Macaca mulatta: one gene and its partner. The protein of the gene in region 1 interacts with the protein of each later gene in a biochemical or structural test. Links are inferred from orthologs where the notes say so. Each region holds a gene or a part of one and is shown on either strand. Other genes may lie near its edges.

The links.
Region 2: the proteins of NHLRC1 (region 1) and EPM2A form a complex in vitro, tested with the Homo sapiens proteins (3 studies listed by BioGRID, with this or other methods). The link is inferred for Macaca mulatta from reciprocal best matches to the Homo sapiens genes NHLRC1 and EPM2A.

What each region holds. Positions count from the first base shown.
Region 1 is NC_133409.1:164,953,191-164,965,531, reverse strand, and holds NHLRC1 (E3 ubiquitin-protein ligase NHLRC1), read right to left. Parts: upstream 8,296-12,341; 5' UTR 7,483-8,295; coding exon 6,295-7,482; 3' UTR 5,358-6,294; downstream 1-5,357. UniProt on the Homo sapiens protein: E3 ubiquitin-protein ligase. Together with the phosphatase EPM2A/laforin, appears to be involved in the clearance of toxic polyglucosan and protein aggregates via multiple pathways.
Region 2 is NC_133409.1:64,005,762-64,017,487, forward strand, and holds part of EPM2A (laforin), read right to left. Parts: intron 7,018-11,726; coding exon 6,843-7,017; intron 1-6,842. UniProt on the Homo sapiens protein: Plays an important role in preventing glycogen hyperphosphorylation and the formation of insoluble aggregates, via its activity as glycogen phosphatase, and by promoting the ubiquitination of proteins involved in glycogen metabolism via its interaction with the E3 ubiquitin ligase NHLRC1/malin.

The DNA of each region.
Region 1 (12,341 bases):
CCATAATGGGTATACTGTGTATTATAATTTGCAGCCTATTAGTCAACAAATGACTGTGGTTGGGCTGTCCACGCTGCATGGATGGCTCCTGGGAAAGGCAGAAGCTTCTTCATGTGCCCATTATTAAGCAGATTTAACCCAAAGATGAGTTTGACAACACTGCAAGCGCACCATCAGGTGAGTGATCCAGGAACACTTTCAGTTCATTCTCTTCCCTCCAGATGGAGTTGGCATCACTGCTATCACTTGATATTGGAGAGCTTGCAGAGCTGTGTTTTCTCCACTCTTCATCGTTTGACAAAGGATGTGACTCATGAAGATCAGGCAACCTCAACACCGCAAAGTCCCATGTACTTAGGTGAAAATGGAAAACGTGGTGGTTGAGAACATGAAGCTTTTCATGCAATTCCGACCCAGACTACCACAAAGTCACCATAATCCTTTGTAACTCTTTGAGTCACTCCGCAAACCCACCACAAACCACTTTAATTCTAGACCAGCTTCTCCAAGCTACCCGGCTACCTATACCACTTCCCTTTTATCAATGAAAGAAATACATAGTCTAGAAAAATTCCTTGGGAAAAACATGGTAATTCAACAAATATTTTTGAACGCCTACGATGTGTAGAACACTGCTCTAGACACTAGTGATACACTTAGGAACAACACAAACATCTTTCTTGGAGTTTACATTCTAGATGGCTAGAAGCTAACCGAAAACAAAAACAAAAAAACCAAAAACCTGATGCTTTAGCTTTTGATTCTTCTTCATATCTTTTAAACATGCTCCAGGTTGTCATGATCTTTCTTAAAATGTGGCATCCGAAATTGAGCAAAAACTCCATGCAAGTATTCTAAAATGAAACCTGGCCTTCCAGATCATAATGAAGGTATATTTTTAGGGTTGGCATGGTGGCTCATGCCTGTAATCCCAGCATTTTGGGAGGCCAAGGGTGGAGGACCACTTGAGCCCAGGAGTTTGAGACCAGCCTGGGAAACATAGTGAGACTCTATAAAAAAATAATTAAAAATTTGCCGAGTGTGGTGGTATGTACTTATAGCCCTAGCTACTCGGAGGCTGAGGAGGGAGGATTGTTTGAGCCCAGGAGTCGAGGCTGCAGTGAGTTGTGATCACACCATGCACTCCAGCCTGGGCGTCAGAGTGACACCTTGCCTCTTAAAAAATATATATCTATATATAATCTTTTATAAATATTTAAATAGAGATGGGATTTCACCATGTTGCCCAGGCTGGTCTCGAACTCCTGAGCTCAAGCCATCCTCCTGCCTCGGCCTCCCAAATTGCTGGGATTACAGGCGCGTACCACTGATCTTGGCCAAAAAAAATGGTATATTTTTAATATTTACATTTACCTTTGCCAAGATAGGAAGATCAAATGTATTTTATTTAAGCTTGATTGATGTATAGGACTTAAATATTTAGACCTGTGGTATGTAAGCCTGTACTTGTTCTTTGGTCTCATACCCTACCAGTATTAGGGAATTGATGAGTTAATGGGAGAGTGTTCCTCTCCACAGAATTAGTTTCCTACTCATGGCATCAAAATTCGTACATTTAAGACCAATTTTCTCCAAACCAATCATCAAAATATTACAACTCTTTTTTGTTTTGAGATGAAGTCTCACTCTGTCGCCCAGGCTGGAGTGCAGTGGCTCCATCTCGGCTCACTGCAACCTTCACCTCCCAGGTTCAAGCAATTCTCCTGCCTCAGCCTCCCGAGTAGCTGGGATTACAGGTGCCTGCTACCACGTTAAATTTTTTTTATTTTCAGTAGAGACGGAGTTTCACCATGTAGGCCAGGCTGGTCTCGAACTCCTGACCTCAGGTGATCCACTGGCCTCAGCCTCCCAAAGTGCTGAGATTACAGGCGTGAGCCACCATGCCCGGCCAAACTTTCTGTTGCAAAAAAACAGATTTGTGCAGGTTCGCTGAAGCAGTGGAGCATTTAGTATAAGAATTCGCATGGGATAGGAGAGAGTTGTTGGGACTCCAAGAACAGAAACCATAGGGCAGCTGGGCCTTGCAGAGAAGCAAAGTGGAGTCAGGGCAGCTCCACAGATCTTGCAGTAGGGACCATCATGCTGGTGCCCTGGAGGTAACATGGCTCCAAGCCACTGCTTCTCCGGATGCATTTCTTCCTCCCATTCTTACCTGGATTCCTGTGAGTTTTGTCTTCCCTCTGCCTCATAGCTTCTTATTCATGATGTGGCTTGTCCACAGGGACTCTCTGCACCCCTGTAACTGAGTGTATTTCTGTCATTCCCCAGGCTGCCATCAGCATAACATGCTCCATATTTCTGAATTCAAAATATCAAGGATGGCCAGACGCGGTGGCTCATGACCAATCCCGGCATTTTGGGAGGCCGACGTGGATGGATTACCTGAGGTTGGGAGTTCGAGACCAGCCTGACCAACATGGAGAAACCCTGTCTCTACTAAAAATGCAAAATTAGCTGGGCGTGGTGGCACATGCCTGTAATCCCAGCTACTCGGAGGCTAAGGCAGGAGAATCACTTGAACTTGAGAGGCGGAGGTTGCAGTAAGCTGAGATCACGCCATAGTACTCCAGCCTGGGCAACAAGAGAGAAACTCTATCTAAAAAAAAAAAATCAAGGACCGGAATGTAATTGGATCTCTGTGCTCCTTGTAAGGAAAATATGTTTATCCCACGCCAATTCATAGTCAGTTTCCTGGTCTAATTAATACATCGGGTAGAGTATCATTGGTTGATTGGCTGTCCTTCTGTTAGGTGTGCACCCCTATCCAAGTAGCTATGGTCCGAGGGGATCGTGTAATAGAAAACCCGGCTGCTGACGGCTGGCTCTTGATGGGGCAGTTTTTCTTAGACGTGGCCGTGGGCACAACAGACACCATGGTTACTCAATACAGTAGTTGTGGTGAGTCTCTGGCTGCCCTATCATATTTGCTACACATTCTCCAAGAAAACAGTTCACCTCCTGACTAGCCATGATACACCACCATAGCATATCTCTATAGTGGAACACTAACACCAGTATATATTTCTTTTTAATATGGCATGTGTAAGGATTATTAGATTTGCTATCATCAGTGGTTCTTCCTCATTTTTCTGAGGTGCACAGGTTAATGCTTGTTCCTTAGAAGGTTCATAATTCACTTTAGGTGGGGTCTGCACCCCACTTAGTTGGGGGCCGGGGAAGGTCTGCATAAGGCACTAGCAAAATCGTGATGGTCTGGGTCCTGGGGTCCAGAGCTAGATTTGCTAGAGGGGAGATTTACGAATATGAACCAAGGTCTTTACAAAATGCCAAGGAAAGAGATTGAGAAAACCAACTCCAGGCGGCAAGTCCAGAGGGTGGAACAAGGTCAAAAGCAGGAGACAATCGAAGGATTGGGAATTGGGCAAAATTGGAATAGATGGAGGGTGATATGAGAACTGCTGACACAGGAGCCAAAGTGTCTGTGTTTGCTTTTATGGACTCACCAGGCAGGCCATGGGGGATATTCTGGAAGAGCCTATTTTCTTTTCCTTCTCCCTTTACTCCTGGGCACGTTCTTTTGTTTCAACCTCTGCGAGTCATTCCAAACCTTCTTCATCACCTTGGAAGCTTTTACTTTCTGCTGGGGTTATTTTTTCCTGCCTGTCTCAGAATTCTCCAATTTCTTCAATAACCTGGAGTTCAGCATGACATATCTCAAGCCTTTTAACCAGCTTGCTTTAAAGAACACAGTCTGGCTGGGTGCGGTGGCTCATGCCTGTAATCCCAGTACTTTGGGAGGCCGAGGCAGGTGGATCACTTGAAGTCAGGAGTTTGAGACCAGTCTGGCCAACATGGTGAAACTTCATCTCTACTAAAAATACAAAAATTAGCTGGGCATGATGGTGGGTGCCTGTAATCCCAGCTGCTGCAGAGGCCGAGGCAGGAGAATAGCTTGAACCTGGGAGGCAGAAGTTGCAGTGAGCAGAGATTGCACCATTGTACTGTAACCTGAGCAACAGAGCCAGACTCTGTCTCAAAAAAAAAAAAAAAAAAAAAAAAAAAAAAGAACACAGTCTGGAAGATGAATTTTGCATCTGCCTTACAAGTCACTGAAACTATTCTCTCAGCACGTGTGTGCCTGATAATCAAGAACAACAAGCTTCGTGTCTTCCTCAAGGAAACTCTGCTCCTGTCCTAGGACATTCCTGGGAAGTGCTGCTTTATACAGTTCTTTTTATGTTGTGCATCCAGCCCCATTCCAGTCCCAAGCCTGATAATCTACCAAGGAAAGATACCAGTTACTAAGATGGCTTGTTATCACAGGTCTGATACACTCCCACATCATCTCACAGATGCGCACCTGATTCTTGAAGTCAGGTAATCCACATGATGACCAGCAATGCTACCTTGCTCACATACCTCCCTGCATTGCATATTCCACACCTTTATCATGACTGCTGTCTGAAAAGGACACATGTCCAGCTTTATAATCAGAGACGATGCCATTAATAATTCCAAAGAGAAAAATCTTTTGAATTGGCTCTACTAATCCTAAAATCATTAAACTGTCATTGTTCTTAAGGAAAATGGTCTAAGATCTGTCCTCAGTTGCTCTATTCATAAATGACCAAATAAGTCTGAATTCACATCTCCACTTGGAATGTTTCTTGGTATGTATTCAGAACACCCGTGAAGTCACCAACCTAGGGGTGACTTTAATGGTGGGATATGTGCATGTGGGGACAAGAGATTTGTCCATAGAACTTCTGTTTAGAATGCATTTATAAATCGTGGTCTAGGGTGCCCCAAATCTTACTATTAGTGCTATATGATGAGAGCATTGACAACAAAATGGGTTTTTGTGGACTGGCATGGGAGTTAGGCTCTCACTTTTACTTTACATGGGTGAGGCACAGTGGCTCATAGTCCCAGTGCTTTGGGAGGCCAAGATAGGAGGCTCGCTTGAGCCCAGGAGCTTGAAACCAGTTTGGGCTACAAAGCAAGATCCCATCTCTACGAAAAAATTAAAAATTAGCTGGGCATGGTGACACACCTCTAGTCCCAGTTATTCAGGTTGCTGAGGCAAGAGGATCGCTTGAGCCCAGGGCGTTGAGACTGCAGTGAGCAGTGATTACTCCACTTCACTGCAGCCTGGGCAACAGAGCAAGACCATGTCTAAGAACAAACAAACAAACAAACAAACAAACCCATAAATATGTAACATAAACATGTAACAGGAGCGTCATCTGGCCCTCTGACAATAGTATGTAGTGTGTTCTGCAATAGTTTAGAACTTATGTAAATATAGGCCTTTCTCAAACAACCAAGTGTTATTTTCTGAGTATGTATAGTGGAGAAGATATAGGCATTACAAGACATGTTTACCTTTTTAATAAGCAGTTCAATTGTTTTTCTTATTCACGTAATTCAGGATCAACAGTAACTTCATCTAATGTGCCATCAGAGCAGTCACAAATTGAATGAAAGTGATGGCCACCACAAAATCCTTTTTCTCCTGAACGCTCCATAAAGTCTCCTTTCTTTGCACATCTTTGTGCTAAAATAATTAGCTACTTGTAGAGACAGTACACATAGCAACACTATTCATTCACCTACTTTTCCCCACATCTGCTATCTTATTTAAGCACAACTTAGTTGGAATCAGAATTGAATTCAAATTGTGACTATGGCAGTAAGTAACTATGACCTCGAGGAAGTCACTTAAGCTCTCTGGGTTTCAGTTTTCTCACTTGCACGATGAGATTAATAATAAAAATTATGGCTAGGCAAGGTGGCTATGCCTGTAATCCCAGCACTTTGGGAGGCCGAGGAAGGTGGATTGCTTGAGCTCAGGAGTTTGAGACCAGCCTGGGCAACATGATGAAACCCCATCTCTATCAAAATACAAAAATTAGCTGGATGTGGTAACGCACGCCTGTGGTCCCAGCTACTTGGGAGGCTGAGGTGGAAGGATCACCCGAGCGGTGGAAGTTGAAACTGTAGTGAGCTGTGATCATGTTTCTGCACTCCAGCCCGGGTGACAGAGCTTGACTCTATCTCGGGGGGGAAAAAAATTACCTCACTGGATAGTATGGATTAAATGAGCTAATATTTGCAAATTTCCTTGCACAAAGAGTATGCATTCAATAAATGGTAGATTAATCTCTAATAATTGTCCTAAGCTTTGTAAGTCTACCAGACAGTTTTAATTATCCCTGCCTGCATAGATGAGTTTAAGTGACTTATCCAGGGTTAAACAATTCATTAATGGCAGCACTAGTGCTTCTGATTCCAGGGCCCCACCCCAGCCCATCACCCCCAGTCAACTTTATAGACTTTTATAGAATGAGATGCTGTGTCGAGCACAAGAAGAGAATTCTCCTTGGTGAAGGTAAGAGCCACAGGATGGGAAAGACCATGAGTGACCATGGGCTTCAGTACTGGAAACTCCTCAGGTTTTCCTAAGCAAAAGATAGCGGGACCAGAGGTATCTGCAACAATTACATTTCCCTGGTGATCAAAGGTCACAGCGGAGGCAGTTATTTTGGAGGGAAAATAGAGGCTCAACCCAAAGGTATCCACCTGGCCGACAAGTTGCATACTTGAGCTAAACACTTTCACCCTGGTGCTGCAAACCCCAGTCCCCAGGGCCAGGGGGTGCTCCAGGACTGCAATGGCCCCCGTGAGCCAAGACACTGCCACCCCTCGGGGACTGCACAGATGAGCTTGCAACTTTTCAGTTCTCCGAAGGAGCCCTTCCGCGAAGTCGACGTCCAGGAGGTGCAGGGACCCTGCCTCCGCGTCAGTTACCACAATCCCATTCTGAGGGGTGGTCTCCACACCCCAAGGTAAGGAGAATTGGCCTCCAATGACAAGCTTGATCTGGCCAAAAAAATCAAACACTTTGATGGAGCGATCGCCGGCGTCAGTGACAACCACATGGCAGTCGTTGGTGATGGTGACATCCACAGGATACCTAATGTCTTGGGAAGCGTCCCCCTTCTCTCCAAACTGATGCGCGCATCCTCCCCCAGAGTCAAAAATCTTGACACGCCTCCTGCCGTCGTGCACCACCACGACCCGCCCCGTCTTGGGACAAAGCGCCAGTCCGGTGGGGTTGACCAGGGTCCCCCAGCCGCCAAAGGTATGGTGGCAGGTGAGGGCTCCGGGGGCGCTGGGGACGGCGCGGTGGGCGGCCGGGGACTGGCGAAGCGCTGAGCCCAGGAGCTCTATGAGGTGCAGCACCGGCAGGCAGTCGCTGGTGTCGCAGCCCCGGCAGGCTCGCCTGCAGAATGGGCACTCGAGGGCCAGCGTGCGCGGGTGCGCCAGGGCGGCCACGCAGGCCAGGCAGACCACGTGGCCGCAGGACAGGTTGCGCGGGCGCCGCTGCTGCCGGTGGCCAAACTTCTCAAAGCACACCTTGCACTCCAGCAGGCTGATCTCCGCCTCGCGCATGAGCTCCTGCAGAGCCGGCTCGCTCTCCGAGGCTTCGGCCGCCATGGCGGGTCCTGTGCACTCCCGCCGCGCCGCCCGGCCGTGTCCCAGAGACGCTCTTGGTCACGGTCACAGTCACGGTCACGGGGTGGGACGTGCGCCCTGACGTCAAGCGCCGCGGGCCTCTGCACTGCGATCTGCTGCCCCTTGGTGGGCATGCGCGGCACTGTTTCTTGAGGGCCTGGTCGTGGACGTTTGCAAGACAAATCCACATGTGCATTGTGTAGACCTGTAATCGTCACATCAGTCATGGATGGATTTTGTACACTTTCAGGTGAGGAAACACACCTATTGAGGACAACAGGATTGCTCCCTGTTACCCAGCCTGTAAGTGCCAAAACAAGAACCAGAACCCAGTCTTCCAGCCCGGGTACCTAGCAGTGTCTCCAATCCTCAGCGTTGGGTGCTAGGGCTGTCCAGGCATCAAACATGGTCCCCTAGCTCATGATGCTTTTGATCTGAACTGGAAAACACGAGCACACGGGAGAAGACAAACTCCAAGGGAGGTGAGGCAGATGTGTATATTTCTTTTGTGTCTTCTTTCACACTCGTTGTTAAGTCAATGAATACATACTTGTAAAATGAATTCGTGCATGAATGAAAGAATGTTATAGAACAACAACAAAAAATCAACTAGGTGAATGAGTGTCAGACGGGGGAACCACGCTGGAAGTGTCTTGCAGAGTAATTAATATGAAATAAGAAAGCTGTTAGTTAATAATAATTACCATAGAACTTTTTTTTTTTTTTTTTTTTTTAAAGACCAAGTCTCACTCTGTCACTCAGGCTGGAGTGCAGGGGCACGATCACAGCTCAGTGCAGCCTCCATCTCCCAGACTCAAGCAATCCTCCCACTTCAGTAGCTGGGACTACAGGCATGAACCACCACACTAGGCTAATTTTTAAAATTTTTTTGTAGAGAGGAGGTCTCTCTGTGTTTGTCTAGGCTGGTCTTGAACTTGTGAAAATTGTTCACAATCCTCCCCACCCCTTGGCCTCCCAAAGTGCTGGTGTGAGCCACTGTGCCCAGCCTATAGAATTCACATATGCCTGCCCTGTTTTGTTAGGTTGGTGCAAAAGTAATCGCAGTGTTTGCCATCACTTTTAATGGCAAAAATCGTGATTACTTTTGCAGCAACTTAATAGTTTACATAGATTATCTTGTTTAAACCTCATAGCAATCCTACAAGAAAATGTTATTTTTATCATCTTTTTTTCTCATAGAGTTCACATAAATCAAATATCTTGCCTAGGGTCACATGGCTAGGAAGTGGCTGGCCTGGAATTTGAAGCCAGGCAGTTTGACTTCAGAGTTACCTATTTTAGTCATTTTCAAACTTCTTTGCACATGGTAAACACTTGGGTCACACCCGAAAAGTTTAGTTGGCCCATGGTGTGGTCTGGACAGCTGGGATTTATAAAAGCTCCCCAGGTGATTATAATGGACAGCCAAGTTTGAGAACCGCTGCATTATAATAATTCCTTCAAATGGCACTAAATTCAGTTTTTCCAATCTCAGTGAAGACCAAAAGCAAAGAGAATTTGCCATATGTTGGAAAATCTTCAAACAAGGGATAGCATAATCTGCGTGAAGAATCCATTGTGGTATTATGAATCTCTCATTTTTCTTTTTTCTTTTTTTCTTTTCTTTTTTTTTTGAGATGGAGTCTTGCTCTGTCACCAGGCTGGAGTGCAGTGGTATGATCTCAGCTCACTGCAACCTCAGCCTCCTGGGTTCAGGCAATTCTCCCGCCTCAGCCTCCCGAGTAGCTGGGATTAAAGGCACCCACCACCACATACGGCTAAGTTTTGTATTTTTAGTAGTGATGCGGTTTCACCATGTTGGCCAGGCTGGTCTTGAACTTCTGACCTCAGGTGATGCACCCGCGTCAGCCTCCCAAAGTGCTACAATTACAGGCATGAGCCACCATGCCCGGCCCTGATCTCTTATTTTAAGGGGTTCTCCCCCAAATGTCTTATGTGAACATTGTGCTTAACAAAACCTTATATCAGAGAATTTCTGTTCCTTCAGAGATCATAATCATGATCGTTCACCTTCTGATTTGCTGGATTTCTGAGAAAACACAGCATTTTATACCCTGTTAAGGCCCCTGCAAAGAGTTTTAATGTAAGACAAGAAAGAACGTTTGCTAATCAAATGTCATCTGACCCAAAGATTGTACAGCCTGTACCCCTAAGACAGCCGTACCATGCTATATAGTAAAGTTCAGTGTTCAGCCCCTACTCCTACAACCTGTGATGTCTGAGAACAGGACTATCTTCAACAGTCAATAAACCTTTATCTGCTAGCACACCCAACAGTACTTAAATTGCTGAATGAATGCTGACTCTAATAACAGGAGAAAGACTAAATAATAATGGTACTGCCACATTACAACATTATACAGCTATTTAAAAATCTTGCTTTTGGGCCGGGCGCAGTGGCTCACGCCTGTAATCCCAGCACTTTGGGAGGCCGAGGCGGGCAGATCACGAGGTCAGGAAATCGAGACCATCCTGGCTAGCAGGGTGAAACTCTGTCTCTAATAAAAAATACAAAAAATTAGCCAGGCGTGGTGGCGGGCACCTGTAGTCCCAGCAACTCGGGAGGCTGAGGCAGGAGAATGGCGTGAACCCGGGAGGCGGAGCTTGCAGTGAGCCAAGCTCGTGCCACTGCACTCCAGCCTGAGCGACACAGCGAGACTCCATCTCAAAAAAAAAAAAAAAATTGCTTTTGAAAACTATTTAGTGATGTTGTAACCAGTAGAGGGTCTGGACTACAAGTTGTCCAGATTCTTGGCTTTTTCAACAAAGAATTGGACAAAATGAAGCAATGAAAGCACAGATTTATTGAAAATGAGGGTGGGACCTGGCTAAGCAGTGGCTCAAGGGCCCTGGTTACAGAATCTTCTGGGGTCCAAATACCGGCTAGAGGTTTCCCATTAGCCACTTGGTATTCATCCCATGCAAATAAAGTAGTGGCCTGCCATCAGTCTGATTGGTTGCTTTTGCTTTCTGCAACCAGAGGCTGAAGTGAAGTTACAAAAGTTACACTCCCATGCAAACGTCTGATTGGTTGCAGACGTTTCTGCCACTCAGAAAAGGCAGGGAGGCGGGGGCGGGGGGGTTGGAGAGGTGTTACAAAGGGAGTAGCCTCTGGTCCTTTTGTTACTTAGGCATGGAAAGTTGAGGTTTTCCTTTCAATTTAGTTCTAGGAAGTCAGCATCAATCAGCCTTAGGTTCCTTGCCTCCAGACCCTATTCTCCTGCCTCAACATGGCGAAGGGCGAATACATAGGAAGGAAGATAGTGGAGATGCAATGCTGTATCGTAATATGATCACAACCTTGTGAAAACATACACATGTATGAGCAGACAAAAAAGATGAGAAGAAAATACATCATCATCATAGCAGTAATTATCTCCAGTGACAGGACTTGATTGCTTTTGTTTTTCTTTTTAAACTTCCTAAATTTTCAATGCATAAAGGATTATTTGTCTTGTTTAAATATAAATAACTTAATATTTTATGGTATATTTCATTTCTAAATATCTGCCTTGATTATCCTCCTGTTGTTGAAAGTTAACACTGATAGTGAAATAAATTTCTATTAATACTCACTGTTTAGGAATCACAGATTTTCAGACATATTTTCAGCCCACAAATTACAGCTACACATAATTAATAAACCTGGGACATGGCTATTTTCTGCAAATCAGAATGACTATGCTTAAGGCACATAAATAGAATTCTATCCGATTCCCATTAACTCAGCCACTGATCAGTTTGTCATATAATGTTTTATAAGGCAAAAAGCCATCACATAAGAAGCTATTGGAGTCAGAGCTGTGGGGATTAAAGATAATTTTGATTTTTTTTTTGAGACAGAGTTTTGCTCTTGTTGCCCAGGCTGGAGTGCAGTGGCATGATCTCAGCTCACTGCAACCTCTGCCTCCCAGGTTCAAGCGATTCTCCTGCCTCAGCCTCCTGAGTAGCTGGGATTATAGGCACATGACACCACGCCCTGCTAATCTTTGTATTTTTAGTAGAGATGGGGTTTCACCATATTGGCCAGGCTGGTCTCAAACACCCGACCTCAGGTGATCCGCCCACCTTGACCTCCCAAAGTGCTGGGATTACAGGCGTGAGCCACTGCACCCGGCTGATAATTTTGATTTTTAAAAAGCACTCAGTAGAAATCTTACTCTGACTTTTCAGAAAGAGTAGGTGTAGGCTGAGCAGTACTTTGGGAGGCTGAGGTGGGAGGATCACTTGAGGCCAGGAGTTCGAGATCATGCTGGGCAACATAGTGAGACCTCATCTCTATTAAAAAGAAAAAAAAAATTAGCTGGGTGTGGTGGCACATGCCCGCAGTCCCATCTACTCAGGAGGCTGAGGCAGAAGGATTTCTTAAGCCTAGGAAACCGAGGCCGCAGTGAGCTATAATCACACCACCGTACCCCAGCCTGGGTGACAGAGTGAGACCCTGTCTCAAAATAAAAAATAAAAATAAGGAGTAGGTGCAACATAAACATATACATGTATCCACAAACACACATTGAAATTGCTCCCTTGTATTAAAATAAAACAATGACAGGTATGTACTGCAGTTGTGACTGGGTAAATTACTTGAACTAATATCTCCGTGGCTTGGGTTGTATTTGTCACTTCATTCTGCCAACGAATCCCGTCAGCTGGGAGCTCTCTCATAGGTACATCTTTCGGGCCACCTTCCGTGGTCCCTGTGCCATTCTTTATGGAGCCAAATCTCTAACTTGCCAGTGATAGCTGTTTAAGCTTTGGTTATATTTCTTTGTATTTTTCTTTCCACATTCACCCAAACAGACTGATTATTACATACCTTT
Region 2 (11,726 bases), about 100 Mb from region 1:
CAATATTCAACATTCTTAAAGAAAAGAATTTTCAACCCAGAATTTCATATCCAGCCAAACTAAGTTTCATAAGTGAAGGAGAAATAAAATCCTTTACAGATAAGCAAATGCTTAGAGATTTTGTCACCACTAGGCCTGCCTTACAAGAGACCCTGAAGGAAGCACTCAACATGGAAAGGAACAACCGGTACCAGCCATTGGAAAAACATGCCAAAATGTAAAGACCATTGAGGCTAGGAAGAAACTGCATCAACTAACGAGCAAAATAACCAGTTACTATCATAATGGCAGGATCAAGTTCACACATAACAATATTAACCTTGAATGTAAATGGACTAAATGCTCCAATTAAAAGACACAGACTGGCAAACTGGATAAAGAGTCAAGACCCATCAGTCTGCTGTATTCAGGAGACCCATCTCACATGCAGAGACATACATAGGCTCAAAATAAAGGGATGGAGGAAGATTTACCAAGCAAATGGAGAACAAAAAAAAGCAGGGGTTGCAATACTAGTCTCTGATAAAACAGACTTTAAACCATCAAAGATCAAAAGAGACAAAGAAGGCCATTACATAATGGTAAAGGGATCAATTCAACAGGAAGAGCTAACTATCCTAAATATATATGCACCCAATACAAGAGCACCCAGATTCATAAAGCAAGTCCTTAGAGACTTACAAAGAGACTTAGACTCCCATACAATAATAATGGGAGACTTCAACACTCCACTGTCAACATTAGACAGATCAACGAGACAGAAAGTTAACAAGGATATCCAGGAATTGAATTCAACTCTGCACCAAGCAGACCTAATAGACATCTATAGAACTCTCCACCCCAAATCAACAGAATATACATTCTTCTCAGCACCACATCGTACTTACTCCGAAATTGACCACGTAATTGGAAGTAAAGCACTCCTCAGCAAATGTACAAGAACAGAAATTATAACAAACTGTCTCTCAGACCACAGTGCAATCAAACTAGAACTCAGGACTAAGAAACTCAATCAAAACCGCTCAACTACATGGAAACTGAACAACCTGCTCCTGAATGACTACTGGGTACATAACGAAATGAAGGCAGAAATAAAGATGTTCTTTGAAACCAATGAGAACAAAGATACAACATACCAGAATCTCTGGGACACATTTAAAGCAGTGTGTAGAGGGAAATTTATAGCACTAAATGCCCACAAGAGAAAGCAGGAAAGATCTAAAATTGACACTCTAACATCACAATTAAAAGAACTAGAGAAACAAGAGCAAACACATTGAAAAGTTAGCAGAAGGCAAGAAATAACTAAGATCAGAGGAGAACTGAAGGAGATAGAGACACAAAAACACCCTCCAAAAAATCAATGAATCCAGGAGCTGGTTTTTTGAAAAGATCCACAAAATTGATAGACCACTAGCAAGACTAATAAAGAAGAAAAGAGAGAAGAATCAAATAGATGCAATAAAAAATGATAAAGGAGATATCACCACAGACCCCACAGAAATACAAACTACCATCAGACAATACTATAAACACCTCTATGCAAATAAACTAGAAAATCTAGAAGAAATGGATAATTTCCTGGACACTTACACTCTCCCAAGACTAAACCAGGAAGAAGTTGAATCCCTGAATAGACCAATAGCAGGCTCGGAAATTGAGGCAATAATTAATAGCCTACCAACCAAAAAAAGTCCAGGACCAGATAGATTTACCGCTGAATTCTACCAGAGGTACAAGGAGGAGCTGGTACCATTCCTTCTGAAACTCTTCCAATCAATGGAAAAAGAGGGAATCCTCCCTAACTCATTTTATGAGGCCAACATCATCCTGATACCAAAGCCTGGCAGAGACACAACAAAAAAAAGAGAATTTTAGACCAATATCCCTGATAAACATCGATGCAAAAATCCTCAATAAAATATTGGCAAACTGAATCCAGCAGCACATCAAAAGGCTTATCCACCATGGTCAAGTGGGCTTCATCCCTGGGATGCAACGTTGGTTCAACATACGCAAATCAATAAACGTAATCCAGCATATAAACAGAACTCAAGACGAAAACCACATGATTATCTCAATAATAGATGCAGAAAAGGCCTTTGACAAAATTCAACAGCCCTTCATGCTAAAGACTCTCAATAAATTCAGTATTGATGGAACGTATCTCAAAATAATAAGAGCTATTTATGACAAAACCACAGCCAATATCATACTGAATGGGCAAAAACTGGAAGCATTCCCTCTGAAAACTGGCACAAGACAGGGATGCCCTCTCTCACCACTCCTATTCAACATAGTGCTGGAAGTTCTGGCTAGGGCAATCAGGCAAGAGAAAGAAATCAAGGGTATTCAGTTAGGAAAAGAAGAAGTCAAATTATCCCTGTTTGCAGATGACATGATTGTATATTTAGAAAACCCCATCATCTCAGCCCAAAATCTCCTTAAGCTGATAAGCAACTTCAGCAAAGTTTCAGGATACAAAATTAATGTGCAAAAATCACAAGCATTCTTATACACCAGTAACAGACAAACAGAGAGCCAAATCATGAATGAACTTCCATTCACAATTGCTTCAAAGAGAATAAAATACCTAGGAATCCAACTTACAAGGGATGTAAAGGACCTCTTCAAGGAGAACTACAAATCACTGCTCAGTGAAATAAAAGAGGATACAAACAAATGGAAGAACATACCATGCTCATGGATAGGAAGAATCAATATTGTGAAAATGGCCATACTGCCCAAGGTACGTTATAGATTCAATGCCATCCCCATCAAGCTACCAATGAGTTTCTTCACAGAATTGGAAAAAACTGCTTTAAAGTTCATATGGAACCAAAAAAGAGCCCGCATCTCCAAGACAATCCTAAGTCAAAAGAACAAAGCTGGAGGCATCACGCTACCTGATTTCAAATTATACTACAAGGCTACAGTAACCAAAACAGCATGGTACTGGTACCAAAACAGAGATATAGACCAATGGAACAGAACAGAGCCCTCAGAAATAATACCACACATCTACAGCCATCTGATCTTTGACAATCCTGACAAAAACAAGAAATGGTGAAAGGATTCCCTATTTAATAAATGGTGCTGGGAAAATTGGCTAGCCATAAGTGGAAAGCTGAAATTGGATCCATTCCTTACTCCTTATACGAAAATTAATTCAAGATGGATTAGAGACTTAAACGTTAGACCTAATACCATAAGAACCCTAGAAGAAAACCTAGGTAACACCATTCAGGACATAGGCATGGGTAAGGACTTCATGTTTAAAACACCAAAAGCAATGACAACAACAGCCAAAATTGACAAATGGGATCTAATTAAACTAAAGAGCTTCTGCATGGCAAAAGAAACTACCATCAGAGTGAACAGGCAACCTACAGAATAGGAGAAAATTTTTGCAATCTACTCATCTGACAAAGGGCTAATATCCAGAACCTACAAAGAACTCACACAAATTTACAAGAAAAAAACAAACAACTCCATCAAAAAGTGGGCAAAGGATATGAACAGATATTTCTCAAAAGAAGACATTCATACAGCCAACAGACACATGAAAAAATGCTCACCATCACTGGCCATCAGAGAAATGCAAATCAAAACCACAATGAGATACCATCTCACACCAGTTAGAATGGCAATCATTAAAAAGTCAGGAAACAACAGGTGCTGGAGAGGATGTGGAGAAATAAGAACACTTTTACACTGTTGGTGGGATTGTAAACTAGTTCAACCATTGTGGAAAACAGTATGTCAATTCCTCAAGGTTCTAGAACTAGAAATACCATATGACCCAGCCATCCATTACTGGGTATATACCCAAAGGATTATAAATCATGCTGCTATAAAGACACATGCACACGTATGTTTATTACGGCACTATTCACAATAGCAAAGACTTGGAATCAACCCAAATGTCCATCAGTGACAGACTGGATTAAGAAAATGTGGCACATATACATCATGGAATACTATGCAGCCATAAAAAGGGATGAGTTTGTGTCCTTTGTAGGGACATGGATGCAGCTGGAAACCATCATTCTCAGCAAACTATCGCAAGAACAGAAAACCAAATACCGCATGTTCTCACTCATGGGTGGGAATTGAACAATGAGATCACTTGGACACAGGAAGGGGACCATCACACACTGGGGCCTATTATGGGGAGTGGGGAGGGGGGAGGGATGGCATTGGGAGTTATACCTGATGTAAATGACGAGTTGATGGGTGCTGATGAGTTGATGGGTGCAGCACACCAACTCGGCACAAGTATAGATATGTAACAAACCTGCACATTGTGCACATGTACCCTAGAACTTAAAGTATAATAATAATAAAAAAGAGAAGACATACAAATGGCCAAGATATATGAAAAAAAATGTTCAATATCACTAATTAGCAGGGAAATGCAAATCAAGACTGCAAGAAGATAACACCTCACTCTAATCAGAATGGCTACAATTAAAAAATCATAAAACACCAAGTGTTGACGAGGATATAGAGACAAGAGAACCTTGACAAACTGCTGGTAGTAATATAAATTAGCACAACCATTATGGAAAACCGTATGGAGGTGGACTGATCATAATATTAAAAGTTGTTTATATTGTTACATCATTCAGCCCCTGTAACAACCTTATCCCCATTTTATGTGTTCAGAGTTGAGGCTCAGAAAGAATGACTTATGTTAAGGAGTACAATAAACAAGTTGAAAAGAAAAAAAAAAATAGAGAAGAGAACTTAAAAATAACTTTCATTAGTATTCTAAGATTCATGAATATACTCATTCATAAACAAGGACAAACTAATATGCAAAAAGTGAATAACTGAATAAGTAAAAGTCCATGAAAATTAAGAATACAATTACCAAAATTAAGAAAAAAAATTGATATTGAATTGGAAATTAAGAAGCCTCTCAAAATGTAAAGCAATAAAAAAGTTGACAAACATAAAATGTAAATCCAAGAGGTCCAACATCCATGTAAGGAGTGTCTCTGATGACAAAGAACAAAGGCAATCAAGGAGAAGAAATAATTATACAGTGGAAATAAAAACTCCAGAGCCCAAGACATGACTCTTCAGAAAAAAGGGTTCATTCAGGAAATGTGGTTCAGGATCAATTTAAAAGAACCCATATACACATCCTCATTAAATGTCAGACCATCTCAAGAGGTGTTCCTTCTCATTCTTTTCTCTGGATCTTCTGCTTATCCTTGACTTCTAAATTGTGTGCACCAGGGCTCAATATTTTTGCTTCTTCTCTTTGTCTCTTCTATACTTCACTCATTTACTATTGTCTCATCTAGACTCATCATTTTGAATGCTATCTATGTCTTGATAACTGCCAATTCTATATCTTTATTTCCAAGCTCTCCCTAAAATTCCTGAAATCAAATCAATTTGCTTCCTGTAATCTAACAGACATTTCAAGAAATGACTAAAGTACAACTTTCACCTCAATTCCTACTTCAAATTGCTCATCTCCTAGTCTTCCCCATCTCAGTAAGCAGCAACACCATTAATTCAGTAGCTCAGGCCATAAAGCCACGAGACATGCTTAACTCTTCTTTTCCTCATTCTATGCATACAACCCACCAGCAAAGCCAACATCTACCAGAAGTTTGAAAGAAAGATGTGTTCAAGAGGAATATTAATTGCCTAAAACTATTGTGAAATTGCATTTTCTCTCTCTTTTACCCCTCACAACTGTGTTTTATTAATTGTATCTTTCATTCAAAACAACACGTTCTTTAAGAACATGAGAATGCATCTCCTTGTGTATGGCACAAATACTGTAAGTTCTACAGTAAATAACACATAATATTTTAAATGTTGGCAATTGCTTTTAAATTTTAAATAATAAAAGTGTGAAAGAAATGTATATTTACTAAGTTTAATGTAAATTCGATAAGCCTTGAAATTATAAAAGTAATTTAAAGGCAGGAGTCAGTAGGTGGAAATAGATGTGGAAAAAAAATACAAGAAGAAAAAAAATCTCCGCTCTTACAATGTAGGAAACTAGGAGACATTGTGAAAAACTGATGGGTCAAGACATAGAATTTGTATGATGGTAAGTAACAATGGAACTTTTCAAAAAAATGCCTGGTAGGGACTGGAGTGGGGAGAGAGGACAAGTACGAGAGACGTCAATTTCCTATGTGTAACAGAGGGGAATCAATAGCTATTGTTAAACTGGTACATTAACAAGCAACACATATGCATATTGTTTAAGATTTAGATTTAATCTCAAGAAAAACTAACCAGAAAGTGATTAAAAATAATCATTTCTGATGAGTGGGAAAGGAGAAAAGGATAATGAGCCTTACGTTTTATTTAGCAACCTCCTGGTTTAGGAATTAAATGAACAAATAAATCAAAATATTAACAAATAATGAAGCAGATAATCACATTCAATCTAGTTCTGTGTATTTTCACACATATTTATTTAAATAAGATGTTATAAGGAAATACCAATTTTTGTTACACTGGTAGTCAGTAGCATAAAGGACACAAATACTAATTTAGACTATGTTAGTGAAGTTTTTATTTTTAATCCACTACATAAATACAGAGATTGGTTAGCTACTATCTGGTCAAAATATATTGATGCTAGGGTATGCATTTATTAAAGAATTCTATTTTTAAAATCCTCCACATCTAGACCCAGAAAAGCTTACACACTGATTCACTGTAATTATCTCCTGAAAGTATTACAGGCCTATAGACCCCTCCAAAGTGAGACACTGCAGTTTTGAACACAGTAAATATTTCCATTGTTGCTAATGCTACCTCTTGTACCACTTCTATGCTTATAAATATAGCACTATTTTTACCTTGAATAATGCATGGCTTGGTGGCCTGCAATATTAAAATAGAAGTCTGTTGTGTGCTTCATTTCATTGGTGTGCCCAGTGGCCTCAATCCAGTGTCCTATTGGGAGACAATACACACCATCCACCAAGTTGTTTTCATTGTAAGTACAGCAACGGTCATGATGAGGTCCATTGCCTAGAACAAGAAGAAATGATAAACAGAGCAATTAAATCAGTGTTTGGTTTAAACATCCTCAAAGCGGCTGATACAAAATTAATAGCAAAAAATAAATAAATAAATAAACAAAGCTACTTAATCTACACATTTCAGTATAAACAAAAAAGACTAGAGTGAAAAACAGAACAGTAGGAGTTTGTAAAGAGCTACTTATGAAAATCAGAGTGTTTTACTCCCTTTGAGTACATGGGTTATAAAAAGCATGTTAACTCAGAGTTTCATGGTACCTCTCAGTGCTCTAAGAGGCCATTATGAATCACTTTGCAGCCTGAGAAGCTCCTAAAAAAAGTTTTTAAAGCTATTAATGCCCCTGTATTATACAATTCTATCTTTCTGGTATGCAAATTTATGAATAAAATCAGGAATAAAGTGTTTTAGTATCAGCTCAACCAAAAAATGTGTAATTACAAATAAATGCATCAATAAATAATAAATGATCACATCAAATCTACTTTACAGGTAAAACAGTTATTATCATTATTTTCAAATGAGGAAAATAAGTCTCACAGAGATTAACTAGCTTGCCCAAGGTCATAGAACTAGTAGTGCGGCGCTAGCAGCAACCTGCCTCTCCTAGTCCCCCACCTTTTCGGCATCTGATGCCTTTGTGATGCTCCCTGCTGATGTCATATGCACAAAGACACACCGTCTTCCTTAAAGGGCCATGGATCAAAGGAAGCAGAGACACATCTCTAAAAATATTATTTGCCTATTTCACGATTCTGCGCAGTATCAAGTACACTAGTTGCTATGGTATGAATGTTTTTGTTCCCCCAAAATTTATATGTTGAAATCCTAACACCCAAGGTGTTGGTATTAGGAGCTGGGGCCCTTAGAGGATGATTAGGTCATAAAGAAGAACCCTCACCAATGTGATTAGCTCCCTTATAAAAGAGGGATGAAAGAAACCCCTCGCTCCCTTCCACCATGTGAGAAAACAGCATGTCGCCGCCGTCTATGAACCAGAAAGTGAGCCCTCACCAATCACTGAATCTGGTATGCCTCAATTTTAGACCCCCCAGCCTCCAGAACTGTGAGCAATAAATTTCTATCGTTTATAAGCTAACCAACATACAGTGTTTTGTTTACAGCAGCCCAAATGGTCTTAGATACTAGTAAACCTTGATTTCTCTAAAAATTATAATTCATACATTATTTTTATTACCTTTTTATTATCCCATTTCAAATCATGCCTTTCTTTATACTACCTAATTATAATATACTGTAAGAAAGACATGTAAGCAAACTAAATGTATGAGTGATTTACAGAAATAAATCACATCTGTTATGAATATAAAAATGTGATTCATTTGTTCTTTTCTCCTTGCTCTGTCTTACAAAATATTTAACCTAGATCTGCTTGTGGCATAAGCTCTCAAAAAAATCCTTAAATTATTTGGTGTTTCTTTGAGATATAACTCCTTCCATCAGACAGAAGGTACAGGATGACTCCCTTAATAAACCATTACTGATCTTCCTAGATCCGTCACCTCTTTTTTCTCTTAATGGATGTTTTTTCTCGATGACTACAAGGCACTGCACCACATCTCTATTAACCTTCATTTTTAATAGATAAAATCCAAACTATACTAGCAACTTCACTTCTAGAAACATATCCAACAGAAATATTAATAAGAAAAAAGAATCTCTGATGCATACAGAGATACATGTGTATAGTAATACTATTTTAATAGAAAATACTGTAAACCATAAGTTTTTTTCATTCTTCTACAAATATTTATTGAGGCAGATACTGTCCTAGGTCATGTTAAGAACTCAGATATTTATCATAAGAGCAATTAAAAATTTGAAATATTCTAAGCAGACATGTAACATAACCAGATTTTATTTTGAGGATACCTCTCTGGCTACAGAGTAAAAAAATAATTTAAGAACAATCAGACAGAAGCAGAGAGTCCATTTTAAAAACTACTATATTGGCCTAGGTGGTTTATGATGAAGCTTGGTCACAGACATTGAAAGGATTATGCAGATTCAGGAGGGAAAAGCCACAGGACTTGATTAATTGGAAAAGGAAGGTGAAAATGAAAGGGGATCAATAATGACTCCTAAGCTTCTAGTGAAAATAATTCAATATACAGTGGTACTATTCACTGAGATGCAAAATCTGAAAGAGGCTGTAAGGAAAGATCATCTATCCAGTTTTGGCAACGTTGGGTTGGAAGTACTCTTTAGATATCCAAAAGGAGTCGTCAAACAGAGAGCTGGAGTTATTGATTTGATATTAAGACCAGAAATCTGAACTAGAAACATAAATATATGAGTAATTTGAGTGTAAATGGTAATTGAAATAGGAACATAGATGAGTCACAAAGCAAAACAATATGAATTGAGGAAAAACGTTCTAGAACAAAGTCTGAAAGTCTTTCCATGTTTAACAGCCAGAGATAGAAGGATAAACTTACAAAAGATGAATAGAGAGAGAAGCTGAAAAGGAAAAGCAAGAGTGGCTAAGTGAAGCGGCAGAGCATGACTGAAAGTGTAAACACAGACTACAAACTGGATGTGGTTACTTCTAGGAAATGGAATTGGATGGAGGGAAACTGTCATAGTCAACTGTTTTGAATTGATTGGATTACCTACAAGGAGTGGGTGTTTTTTTTAGTTTAATGAAAGAATATCTATGGCTCCCATTGGTCAGTACAATTGACTTACAACACTGACTTACAACACTGACTTACACTTACAACACTGACTTACACTTACAACACTGACTTACAACAACCTTTAAAAATATAATTGTTGAAGAGATCAAATATTCATAAATTATGACGGTCAAGAAGAATTATTTATGTATCATCATCTTCATAAGAATTCTTCATTCCTACAATGATTTCTTTAATTGCTCATTTTTATACCTTTATGTTTTAGGCAACATTTAAAAAAATCTTTCATAGATAGTAACCTGAGTTATTCAAAATATGTTCTAATAGTTAAAATGTATTTTAGAGGATGGGTTTTTGTCTTTTTAATTTCACCTAATGAAATGGCAAAAATGAATAGTAAAATAATTTTGGTTTTGGAGATTTCTGCATGTAGAACTATGGAATAAATGTATTTTTCCCTAGTCCTCCCACTAAGTATAATTTAAAACCCTGAAAATTATAAATAAACAAACATAAGATAACTTTGAAAGGCAAAGAGAAGACAGACCATCCAGAGACACTGAGACCTAAGGAAAGACCTAAGTATTGAGTTCCCTGCATTTTCTTTTTGCCTTATATATCCCAGACTTAGATCTGAAGAAGCCAGCAACCTGGTAACACAAGGACAGCAAAAGGAAAACATGACAAAAGTCCACTCTCTCTAGCCAAATGAAAAGACAAGCCTAGCCAGACAGAAATCTGTTTGATAATAACTACACTACTCCAGTTAAACTCCAGTTAAACTCCAGTTAAACTCCAGTTAAACTCCAGTTAAATTAAACACCATTACACCAGTCATGGTGTCAGAAAAGAATGAGTAGGGGTCTGAAACTTTCAGCATCACCCTTGGCAATGCAGTGGAGTCCAAGTGGAAAGGTGGACTTCCACCTCCATTTGGCAGTAACGAGGTGCCCCTCCTTCCCACTGAGATCGTGTCACAGGTGACCTAGTGGAAAGTCAAGATTTTTACCTCCTTCCCGCCCCACCATCAGTGGATGCCATATGGGAAGCAGTAACAAGGCATTCCTCCCTTTCTCAGGCAGAGAGCTATCAATGGAGGCCTAGTGGAGAGCTAGAACTACCACCTCGCTCAGGGAGGAGTCTGTTTGGTTTGGTTATGAATGGAAACAGTGTGAGGAACTGGGTAATAAGGTGGGACCTCTATTCTTCTGCTGGAGTGGTGTCAGAAGAATTCAGTTAAAATCAAAGGTTTACATAAGAGCTAATCTCATTATATAATACCCCAAATGTCCAGGTTTCAATAGAATATCACCCATTACATCAATAACCACTAAGATTTCAAACTAAATGGAAAAAAAAGATGCCTGATAAAGGCCAACACCAACAGAACAATAATGTTAGAATTAGGTGATAAATATTTTAAAGCCTCAGTAACCCATTAGAACACATTCAAACAAATGAAGAATCAGAACATCTCAGCAATGGAATGGAAGATGAAAAGAGGAACTAAATAGTAGTTTTAGAACTGAAAAACACAATATTTGACATTTTAAAAACTCAGTAGATGGGTTTAAGAGCAATATGGAAGGGACACTGGAAAGAATTTCACAAATTCAAGATAAAATCATGGAAATTACCCAACCTAAACAGCAAACAACAGAGAAAGTAGGTTGAATTAAAAACAAAAAAAAACAAAAAAACAAAAAAACAAAAAACCAGACCCTTGGGGACATGTGGTACTATTAACAAAATATCTAAATTTATGTAATTGGAGTCTAGAAGAAGAGGGAAAAGATAGTAAGGCTTAAAAGTACTTGAGAAAACAATGCCTGAAAACTTTTCTCATTTGGCAAGAGGCAAAACCTACAAATTCAAGAAGGTGAGCAAAGTCCAAACAACATAAACCCAAAGAAATCAATACTGAGACATGACATATTTAAAATTCTGAAAACTAAAGACAGAGGAAGTCATAAAAGTAGCCAGAGAAAAACAGCAATGTAAAGGAAAAAATATTCTAATATGAGCAGATTTCTCATCAGA